Linked DNA regions of Drosophila melanogaster. The protein of the gene in region 2 interacts with the protein of the main gene of each other region in a pairwise test. Each region holds a gene or a part of one and is shown on either strand. Other genes may lie near its edges. The genes, in order: CG31140, fwe and CG14232.

Evidence for each region.
Region 1: the proteins of fwe (region 2) and CG31140 interact in a two-hybrid assay, tested with the Drosophila melanogaster proteins (one large-scale study listed by BioGRID).
Region 3: the proteins of fwe (region 2) and CG14232 interact in a two-hybrid assay, tested with the Drosophila melanogaster proteins (one large-scale study listed by BioGRID).

The regions. Positions count from the first base shown.
Region 1 is NT_033777.3:23,961,097-23,964,848, reverse strand, and holds the start of CG31140 (uncharacterized protein), read right to left. Parts: upstream 1,670-3,752; 5' UTR 1,626-1,669; exon of another isoform or gene 1,616-1,625; intron 1-1,615.
Region 2 is NT_037436.4:15,814,738-15,818,489, forward strand, and holds the start of fwe (flower), read right to left. Parts: upstream 1,674-3,752; 5' UTR 1,540-1,673; coding exon 1,537-1,539; intron 1,320-1,536; coding exon 1,199-1,319; intron 1-1,198. Other genes in the region: CkIIalpha-i1 (CKII-alpha subunit interactor-1), read left to right, coding at 2,311-2,436, 2,495-3,601. UniProt on the Drosophila melanogaster protein: Transmembrane protein which mediates synaptic endocytosis, fitness-based cell culling, neuronal culling, morphogen gradient scaling, and calcium transport. Regulates synaptic endocytosis and hence couples exo- with endocytosis.
Region 3 is NC_004354.4:19,702,391-19,706,142, forward strand, and holds the start of CG14232 (uncharacterized protein), read right to left. Parts: upstream 1,870-3,752; 5' UTR 1,749-1,869; exon of another isoform or gene 1,673-1,748; 5' UTR 1,629-1,672; coding exon 1,499-1,628; intron 1,441-1,498; coding exon 1,013-1,440; intron 808-1,012; coding exon 343-807; intron 284-342; coding exon 1-283. Other genes in the region: CG14230 (uncharacterized protein), read left to right, coding at 2,021-2,198, 2,260-2,549, 2,616-3,723.

The DNA.
Region 1 (3,752 bases), on a different chromosome or scaffold from region 2:
CGGCATAATGGCCCTCAAGCACAAGGATCTTGGTCCTTATTTAGTGTATATGACATGTTTTTAGCATTGATTTTACATCGAATTATGTCCTAAGCTCATAATTCTATAACTATCTATTGTGACAACAAGATATGAGTTTCCTATTGTTTAAAACCCTCAAATTTTAGTTCGATATTCGATCCTATCGAATATTGATATTAACGCATCGTTTGTGTGCGCAGAAAAGCACCTACACGAAATTATAGTAGTTATGATGACTTAAAGCAGATTATAGATGGAATCAAGGAATATCTATAAAACTGGAATCCACATACGCAGTTACTTTCTATAAAAAAAAGTTGTTAACCCTTGAAGTAGAAGTACTGCGAACTTGAGAAATGAGTTGTGAACTTGGACTTGACGGTACTATTATTTGCACCGCAACTGTGAGTTTGGAGCCAGCCTGACGACGTGGAATGTCCAGGACCCGTTTCCCGTGTCCATATATCCTGGCCACCAGGCGATGTCCTGGCGACATGCGCACTCCGGAACCCACCACACTCGCTCGCGCGAACTCAACTCCACCACGACGGAGCGTTTCAAAGAAAGTGGCCAAGTTTAAGGATAAATCACAACGAGCAATATTTTTGCAACAAATGCGTTGAACGGGCGGCAATTTGGGGGTTGGGTGATGAAAACTTTGCGGCTTTGCTTTTCTTAGGGAAATTATTGTTTTGTTTTGGGCTGGGAGAGGCGCAGAAGCAGAAAAAACGGAAAATTATGGATGCTAATGGGGGGCCCAAAAAAGCGAGATATATAGATTTCAGAGGCTGTGTATACACACACACTCTACAACTGTAGACAAAGCAGCCGTACTTCGTACCCGTAGTGGCGCCCACCCAGCCCACTGACGCCCCCACCCCTTTCCCCCTCTGGACTTGCCACCCACTTTTCCCACCCAATGCTGCGCGCTTCGCTCTTTTCGGGCCGCATGAGCAAATCGCAATAGATAGAGAATTTTTTTCTTTCTTTCTTTTGCTGGCGCGGCTTGATTCCTTGCCACCACATCTATATGTATGTATATATATATATGTCTGATTGGTATATATATGCGAATATATATGTATCTGGACGGAGTGCGTGTGGCCTTGTCTTTTTCCATTTTCATTGCTAATCACACGAAGGAGTTAATTTGTTAAAACTTTGGCTTCGGATGGGAAAGTGGGGCCTGGAAAACTCTTGGTACTTGGCACATATGACAACGTAATTTTCACGCGCACACACACACTCGCGATTTTGGAGAGAGAAATTTTATGTACCATACATTTTTGAAGCTGCAAAATTTTGCACATTCGATTTTCACACTGCCACTAATGCTGCCTGCTACTGCTGCTGCTGGCGCTGCTGCTTTTTCCTTCGTTTTTCTTTTCTAGCCGCACTTTCGAATTTTTTTTCCTTCACCGGATGGAAAATTTTCACACGCACAGCAATCGAGTTAAAGCGAGTTTTTCGCAAGTTTTCATCGCGATTTCCCCCGAGTTTTCCACGCGTTTTATGCACTTTTTCGCTGCGAGTGTGTGAGAATTTTCCTGTGTGCTGGCTGTGTGAAAATGGAAATCCAGTGAAAATCCGCAACCGTTACGTACGGAAGAGCACACCTAGCTGCTGTGTGTGCTCCGCTGAAGACGATGGTGCGCTCTGCGGACGGGTCTGCAACTTTCTCGCGGCGCAGCGCCTTTATCGCTGCCTTCGCCGCTGCTCCGCCTGGCGCTCTCGCTGCGTCCCGCTCGCACACGCCGTGGGGCCAATCGCGCCCTCTCGCTCGACGCTGAGTGTGTTGAGTTCGCCGAATTCCTGTGTGCGTGCGTGCCCAACAACAAACAGGGGGAAATGTTGGGGAGCTCCCGTTAGGGAGAGAGCCAGGTCGCTCTCTATCTCTCTCGTTCGCAGTCAGGATGCTCTCTGGCGACCCCCCCTCCCCAAATAAAAATGAAATCAACAATTTGTTGGTCGGCGAGCTGCCAACTTGGCCCCAAAATAAATGTGGCCAAGCTAAGAGAGGAAATTGGCCCAAAGAACGACCATTATTTTAAATTAAGGCTTAATTGAAGGTTAGAAATGTAGGTTTTTTGAAAAAAATGAGTTTTACATTCAATATTAAAATCAGTAAGAAAATGCATTTTCTTATATTTTATAATTTAAGTTAGTAAAATCTCATAAAAACGAACTTTTCAAAAACCATTGCCTACTTTCTTGTGCTTATTCCGCGTCATAACCATGACGTACTATTGTCCCAACAGAAAAGAGTAGTACTGAAATATAAAAACTCTCACGCTCGATACCATCTTTATTTGCAGCAAAGAATGCATAAAGTAAACAGAGTTTTGATTGGTTACTTTGGATACAGCAATTTTTATATATTTATAGGGCTTTTAACTTACAACTATAGAGTTGAGCACACCGTCGATTAATCGCATCGCTTTACTTTGCTTATCATTAAGTTAATCTTTACAAATATGAACGTGTGTGAGCAACCGATATTGATGCTTTTTTGTGAAATTAAATGTATTGCAAATTGCATTTGCCAAGCGAAATTAGGAATAGGTTTAACAGCACTTCTATACACAATGTTTTTTATGCTGACACAGGGTGGTTAAATTACAATAGAACCGGTATACTTTTGGGTTACGTTAAATACACATACAATTAAGGCGACTTTAAATGGGTTCAATATAGATAATGCCTTTCTGGCGTTACTTTTGCATAGAGCCAACTTAGCCCAGGCCGTGATCGTCGAAGAAACTCTGCGGGGTCTCATCCTGGAAAGGGAGAATGCTTAGCTTCAGTTACATGTTACTATACTTTACAGCGCTTGGGGTAAAAGGAAACCAAATAAAAGTATCGATACTGGGGGCTAACTATGAAAAAGACTATGAAAAAGGGTGGTATATAGTAGCAACTAAAAACGAAAGGACACCAAACGGGTGCGCTAAGCCAGACATATAGGTAGATAGACAGTTTAGAGGGAGTGGAGCTCAGAGATCAGATCAGTGGAGGTGGAACAATGTGGGCGTCAAGAGTTTAGAGCAGTCAAATTGGTCAGTCACAACAACAGCAAAGACAACAATCAAAACTAAACGTTTAACAAAGACACTAAAAAGAAAACTGAGGTTCACCAGGTCTTACCATTTTCATATAGCATACGAGTACAATTAGGATTTTTTTTTCAAAAATACTTGGTTTTTATTTTAACTTGTTTTTCTCAGTTACAAAACACAGAAAATTTGGCTAAAACGTACAACACACATACATAAACATATATATATATATATATACTTGTAGATATAGATAAACTAGATTTTTTTATTCGGTTATTATTACAATTTTCAATTATATATCGTTCTCATTTAATCAACATTAAAGCTTACATGTTTCTATTGTAAGAATAGTATTGCATATATTTCCCCACTAAATTAGTTATTGCCCATTTGGTGATTGATTGGAATGATCTTTCGATTATAAAATGTAGATAGGAAGAGGAATATTAATTCAGTTCAGGAACCCCAGGTGGAACTACGTGAGGTTGGCTTGTTTTGCATGAACTTTTCTGAATCTATTGTGTCTGTGCGTGAAATTTACGAGATAGAGTGTATGAAAAACCGCATACCAGATGCTCTGATGTTACTATATAGTATTATTGCTTTTTGGAGCCTCACGCTGCTTGGCGTCTTCTTGCTTATAATTTTTTTTTCAGCGCTTCAGTGCTGTACAAC
Region 2 (3,752 bases):
TATCCAACAACAAAAGATGCTTTTGTACAGAGAAAAAAAAGATGTTAAAAACGTTTTGAATAAATAAATATTCCTTTGGTTGATCTCTAAAAATTCCAGGAATAATATGTCAATGAGGCATATTGTTTCTGTGGAATTTTCATTTATATACATATGTATGGTTTAGATTGATTTTTAAAATAATTTTTGTAAGTATTCTAACGACACGAAACCCAATAGCATAATCAAAACCCCAACTGCGATTAAAAAGATTGACTTGGACTTAATCAAAGTAGATCACGACTACTTAAAAGTTTATTGAACTGCATTTTTTTATGCATTCAGAAGGTGATGATGAAATTACAAAAAAGATGCCCCAATTGAATTTAAGATACGCATAGACTTATTACGATATTGCACTTATAACACGTGTGGCAGCCTAAGGGTTAAGGTTAACTGAGTCCAGATAAAAAAGCAAATACGCAAACGGGTAAAACAAAGTTAAAAATAGAGATGGAAAGAGGGAAGCTGCTGATACAACAAAAGGCAGTGCGAATTTCGATTGAATGGGCACAGAGAATTACATTCGATGCGGAAAGAAAAAGCAGAGCGCCAAACTTGACACAGAAAAGCTCCTATACATACTTGCAATTTCCTACACACGAAATAAAAAGTTATCAAACGAAATGGTTAGATAAGAGATATTAAGTGCAGGAAGCCCACTTAGTTAAGTGGGTGAATGTATTATTTTATATTTCAATAACAAAACAAAAAAAAACCTTTTTTGGACTTTGTTTTACCTTAAAATTATACGTTTCATTCTTAATTCATTTGGAAATCTCACACTTTACCCTACATTTCTTTGATTTTGATGTAAAAATAAACTTTAGCTACATACATAACTAGTATTTTTTTCAGTGTGTGAATTTGTGTATCCTTTTTGTGTTGTCTTTTCCATGTTTCCTTTCTCCGCTCTCACTGCCTCTCACCTCTCACTCACCCTCTCTTGTTTTTCCTTTATCAATGTCAGAGAGCGTGCGTACACACACGAACACAACTGCACACCTACACCTACGAATAGATAACAGCAACAACAACAAAGGGTGGTACACAAAAATCGATGCAACATATTTTTGGGCCGCCCAATGTCACGGATGTTTTTCCCAACTTTTTAATGTGTTAAGCTAGTAGATAATTTATTATATATCCTACAACTTACAGAAGGCGGCCACAATGCCCAGCAATCGACTTCCATATTTGAGATACCACGGCTGCTCCGGTCCAATTGGATCTTGTTGATTCGGCCGTGCCAGCAGACCCGTTATCTTTTCCGCAAACGACTGATCCGGGAAATAGACGGAAATAGGGAGAAATCGAAATGCAATTAGGAAAAATCGAAGCACAATTTTGTATTGTGACGCGGCGGCCGCTTTTTTTAACACGCACACATTGCCACGACAAAAACACACACACCAGTTAACGCGCGGCTCACATGCATACACACTGACACCGCTCACTGCGTCAGCATTTTATCTCAGTCAATCAACAACTACCTACCATGGCTATTTATTTAGTTAGTTAGCTAGGCTTAAACTAATTCGAACAATTACTATTTGCACTTTTCACGTCACACGGAACGAAAAAAATCCTGTTGTACTTTGCGTTCTGCTGCACGCGAACCGAACTAGATCGCGATTCTGATGGCCGATAGAGCCTATCGATACTCGGAAGTTATCGGAGGCGAATGGAACTAGTTTCCTGGTATCCTGGATTCACTACAACATTTTTTAATTTTTAAATTTATATTGCAATTAGTCAACTTCTTACTTTTTTCATAATTATTTGTATTTTCTTGTTTTGGGTTTCGAACATTCAAATAATTACACAAATACTTTTTTAGGTAATGAAAAAACTACAGTCTAAACTTGTAAATTGGTTTTTGTTCGATTATGATATTAAACAATATTTTCCGGTTCTCTTAGCAAATGTTAGGCAAATTTGTGTACATTGAAAGCTTTTATACCGTTCAATATGCAGGCGGCATCTTTAGAAAATTCACTTCGATCTCAGATCGTTCACCTAACTCCTAAATCTGAACAACTATCTCTATTCAAATCAATCAAAATTAATTTATTTTTAGATTTGCATAAATTTCTAAGTCCGTAAATTAAAAATCGATTAATTCAATTGCCTATCGACATTAAGCAGCTCTGCATTGTATCGATAAATTAAACATCTATCGATAGTATCGATTAGCAGACATCGAAGAAATCATTGATTACTTGCCTTTTATTAACTTGGTTTTTGGACCTCCTCGAAAATATCAGCAAAATGACAGAAGCGGAAATTTGCAAACTATGCAAGGATAACCGAGCAATTGAGATCGATCTCGAGAAGCCCAAATTCAAATCGGCCAATAAACTGCTGCAAAGACTTTTCGATTGGTACAAAATTGATGTAAGTTCTGAAAGTGAGTCCAATGGATGTCAAATGCAAAGAAACCCACGTATTTTAGGCTGCTATCCTGGGGGAAAATTACTGCATTTGCGAGCCCTGCTTTGGAGAGACTTTGCGCATAAGCGAATCCCTGGAGAAGTGGGGCACGGCCCAGGACGAGTTTCACCGGAGGCCCATCGAAATAGACGACTCCACTGCATTTCAGATCAAGTTGGAGGTGACATCAAACAAAGAAGAGGTAGAAACGGAAAAGAATGATGAGGAGAATTCTTTCGATCAGCATATCGCGGAGCCAGTGAAGGAAGATCCATTGGAAAAAAACGAGCATATGGAGATCGTAGTCGAAGAATCTTTGAAAACCGCGTCCGTGGATTTCTTCAGCGTGGGATTGTCACGCGATGGCTTGGCAGTCACCAAGTTCTTCAAGGACAAGACCCAAGCCACTCGGATGCTGTGCACCTGTTGCGGCCATGTGCTCGAAATCCTGACCCACATACGCATGCATTCTTGTAAACCCCGCCCGAATCCGGTCTACTATTGCCGCGATTGTGGTTCAGAGTTCCACAAACTACACGAACTACATGAGCACATGAAGACGATGAAACACAACAAGACCATGTGCGGCGCAAAGGATTTGGAATTTCTGTGCCTCAGATGCAACCAGATATTCCCACGCTATTTCGACGTTATCCGCCACGAGAACAGCGTTCACAATGTATCCGATTTCATCTGCGTGGAGTGCAACATGTCCTTCGCTAACCAAGGATCCTACAGGAGGCACACGAGGAGCCATAAAGTCAAATTCACGCAGCAGCGATTTTATGAGTGCCCATATAAGGACTGCACCTCAAGTTATCGAGTGTGGGCGCGCTTAATGTCGCACATGAGTTCCCACGGCCTCTTTTCTGGATTCAAAAGCAAAGTGCCGTCTACCCAACAGGAACGACGTCTTCTGGAGGGCAAGTTTATGACGCTGGACCCCATGAAACGGGTTGAACCCGATCGCCGAAAGTTGCCATACCGCAAGAAAAGCTTTTACGCTAAGGCAGATTTCCCGGAATCCCCGACGAAATGTACCAACGGAGGAGAGTTCATCAGCCTGCCCAAGAAAATTTCCCTGCAGAAGGGAAAATACATCAATCTTTCGGACAATTCAAGACCTTAGTTACCAACTAGGCTAGCAAATAATGGTAATCTTGAAAACTGATTAAATTGTATAAATTAATATTTCCACTACTGTGTGTATATTATTAATTCTTAGATAGCCAATTTTAGTATAACTTTTTTGTTATTAAGAAATTTACCCCCGCGTTGTA
Region 3 (3,752 bases), on a different chromosome or scaffold from region 2:
GATAGATCGGTACGATAATGGAAATGGGTGCCTTGGGGGCAGCAGTCGGGTTGTTAACTGCGCCGCGCTCCTGCGACAGCGAGCCGGACTCCAGGTCCTCGGTGGTGGATAGGTAGTCCTCGTCCACGCAATCCTCGTCCTCGTCGGAGTCGCTCACATGCACGGTCACCTCGTTGGTCACGGGCTTGGCCCACTCGAAGTAGATGCCGAAGCCGATGTCGTAGCTGTCCGTGGCGAACTCCCAGAAGATGCACTTGCCGTTCATGTTGGTGGGCACACGGACCTGCAAAATTGTGCCGGTCAATATGGGCCTTGTTTCGTCATTAGTTGATTGCCACCTACCGTCACCGTGTCGCCGTGTCCAATGGTGATGACGCCGTCCCCATCGCCGGCGGACACCTCAGTCTTAAACTGCTCGATGTCGGGACGAGTCCAGATCTTGGCCGGGCAGATCATAACGTAGTCGTCGTACTCTTCCTCGCCGTGCTGTTCCTGCCCAACGCCCTCCAACGTCTGCTCTACATGCCCGTCTTGCTGCTCGGCCAGCTGCTGGTGCTGCTGTGTCTCGACCTCACCGAGCTTCAGTCCCTCCATGGCGTTGGGCAAGTCGGTTGAGCTGTTGTTGTTATTGCCAGGGACGTGTTCTGCTTCCTGGTGTCCCTTGTCCTCCGTGTTCTGATTCTGATTCTGGTTCTGGTTCTGCAGATGAAGCTGTTGCATGTACTGGTGATAGTGCTCCCGCTGCAGCTGGTGGATAAGCACGGCCTGCTGTTCGGGGTTTCCGGGGAACTGCTTCTCAGCGTACAGCTGTGGAACGAGTGTAAGCGTTAGAAGGGCCAAGTTAATGGTACAGGAGCTGGCATGCAATTGCCTGAGAACTGGGTCATGACCCCTTTTCAATGGCAGACAGCGCAGCCAAGGCCGAGCACCCAGTAATTATCATGCATTATTTAGCACAACAACAGGTGCAGAGGGCCGGGCCGGTGTGTTGTTGAAAAAATCGATGGGCTACCTTAAACTGCTGGTAAGTCTGCTTGTTGAGTGCGTCCTGCAGCTGGCGGCGCTGCAGCTCCTCCTTGTAACCCTCCTCGAGCAGCTCCTGCTGGGCGTTCTCCTGCCGCTCGCGTGCCTCCTTCTTCTCCTCCATGAGGCGCAGCTCCTTGCGCAGCGTCTCGTCGCGGTCCTGCCGCACGGCCTCAATGTACGGCCGAAAGGCGCTGCACATTGTGTCCAGCAGGTCGACGAACCCCTCCATCGCCTGCTCGCGCGTTATCTCACCGAGCAGCTGCCAGTGCTGCTGCCGGTCGCGTCCGATCACGTCCAGGACGCCCAGCGCCGGGGCGCGACTCGTGTTGAAGGGGCCCAGCGCCGCCTGCTGCTTGAAGGCGATCAGCTTGAGGTTGTCCTCGTACGACAAGTGGATGGCCTTGCCGGAGTTCCCTGCAATATGTGAGATTAGCCGTTATTGGTGCGCTAGTGCCGGGATCTCTGCTCTTACGCTTGTAGAACGTGAATGCCAGGCGGTAGAGCTCAATCAAAGGGAAGCCCCACTTCTCGGCCGATGATGGTGCCATGTCCGTCGACTGGGCCGTTTCACTGCTGCTTGTGCCGCTTGTCCCGCTCGCCATGCTGCCGTTGTTTGTGGGCTAGTCCACGATTGCTGGCCTGCAAACTTTTCGCACAAAACAAAACAAAATAATAGAATTTATTGTGACGTCTGCTGCCAGTGTGACCAGCCAGCTGCGCACCTAAAGTAATTGTATTGCTCGCCTTGCAACACTGACCGATGGGGATTATTTTTGTCTAACTTAATGTATTTGCCTATTTACAAAGTTGCTAAATAAATTTGAAAGCTGGTTTAGTGTTGCTTGGACTTGTTAAAAACCTGTATAAAGCAATTGGGAATTGGAATTGTGGCTATATTTAAGTGTAAGTTTTTATCTGCCCGCGGTCACACTGGCCCACAGCAATTCTTGCCGGGATTTGGATTCTACACGTGCATTGCAAGCGTAAACATAATATGGGCAGCACTCGGTTCTTCCTGGCGGATCTGCCGACCAGGACCTCGGAGTCGGACCTGCAGATCCTGTTCCAGGACTACGGTCACGTAGAGCACGTGGATCTGAAGCGCAAGGAGCAGGATGGGGCCACTAAGGTGATTGCCTTCGTCACCGTGCAGACGGATGATGCCCAGTACTGTAAGTTATCCGCGGAAGATCACAGCCAGACGGAAGGAGTAACCATAGCTTGGTTTTGTAGGCGTCAACGAGCTCAAATGGCAGAAGTTGCACGGCGAAAAGCTAAGAGTTTCTCTTGCCAAAGAATCGTTTTTGGATCGACTGAAGCGCGAACGCGAAGAGAACCAGCGCCGGGAACAGGGCGAGCCAGACGAGTCCGAGGTGCGTGCGCCGAGCTCTCAGCTCCTGGTGCAAAGTGGCCAAAACAAGCGCAGGGTATTCGGAGAGGATGAGGAGATTGGTGATGATGAGGTCGCTCCAGAGCTGCTGATTACCAAGAAGCGCGCCGCCAATTCCATGCACAATGGCCGGGTATGCACGCACTCATTGTTCCCAAGCTCATTGTCAGCTAAATTCCTTTCCTTTCCTTTCCCACAGATTGTCATCCAGCAGGAGCACGACGTGAAGCCACTCCATGTCATCGAACAGCACCGCAAGGCAGCCAAACAGAAGCCGGACGCCAATGTCAGCCAGGCGGAACAGAAGCGCAAGGAGTCGCTCAACAAGATGCGTCAGGGACACCAACAAAAGAAGTCAGCCATCCAGCAGGCGCTATCTGTGATATCAGTCGAAGGCAGTCAGGCAAAGAGAATAAAATTCAGCGACGCCGAGGAGGAGGAGGCGTCCAAGCCCGTCCAGAAAGCCAAGATACAAAAGCGGGATCTGTTCGAGAACGACGACGATGAGGAAGAGGAGCAGATCGTCCTGCCGCAGCATAAGGGCAAGAAGGGCGAGCGTCTGGTGGAGATGCAGAGCAAACAGAGTATAGATCCCCGCTTCCGCATCACATCGAACTTTGTGAACGAGGAGGAAGAGGCGGAGCTGGAGGATCAGCCTGAGCCGGAGGAGAGTGAGCGCAAATGGCACATGAACATTCTGGAGCAGGTTGTGGGACACGCGATCACCAGTGCGAACGATAAGGACGGTAAGTCGCCAAAGAACAAAAAGATGCTGCGCTTCGATCCGGCCAAGGAGGGCCATCAGAAGCTAATGCGCCAAAAGCAGCCCAAGGAGGAGGAGGAGAAGAAGGAGGAGACTTCCAGTACGAAAGCCAAGACCGCCGACGCGGGCAACAGTCAAGCTTCAGCCGTCTCGAAGACGGCCTTTTACATTGTCACCGACACGTTGAGGGATTCGCTGAACACGCGTGGAGAGGGTTTCAGCCTGCTGGACATGTTCGGCAGTGCACCGGAGAAGGAGGTGGCCAAGCGCCAGGACCAGTTGGAGAAGCTGGGCCATGAGAAGATCCTGGTGGGCAAGACGTCTGCCAATAAGCTCGGACTGGCCACTCTCAATCCGTTCTCCTACGACTCGTCCGACAGCGAAGACGAAACCGAAGTAAAGCCGAAGCAAGAGCAGGAGCAGGAGCAGGAGCTTGAGGTCAGCAAGGAGAACAAGGCCCAGCCAGCGAAGAAGTCGGGTCAAAAGAGGAACAAAAACAAATTGGAGTCCTTCTTCATACCCAGAAACGATCCTCGTCTCAAGGGTAAGAACGTGAATCTGTGCGTATTTTTT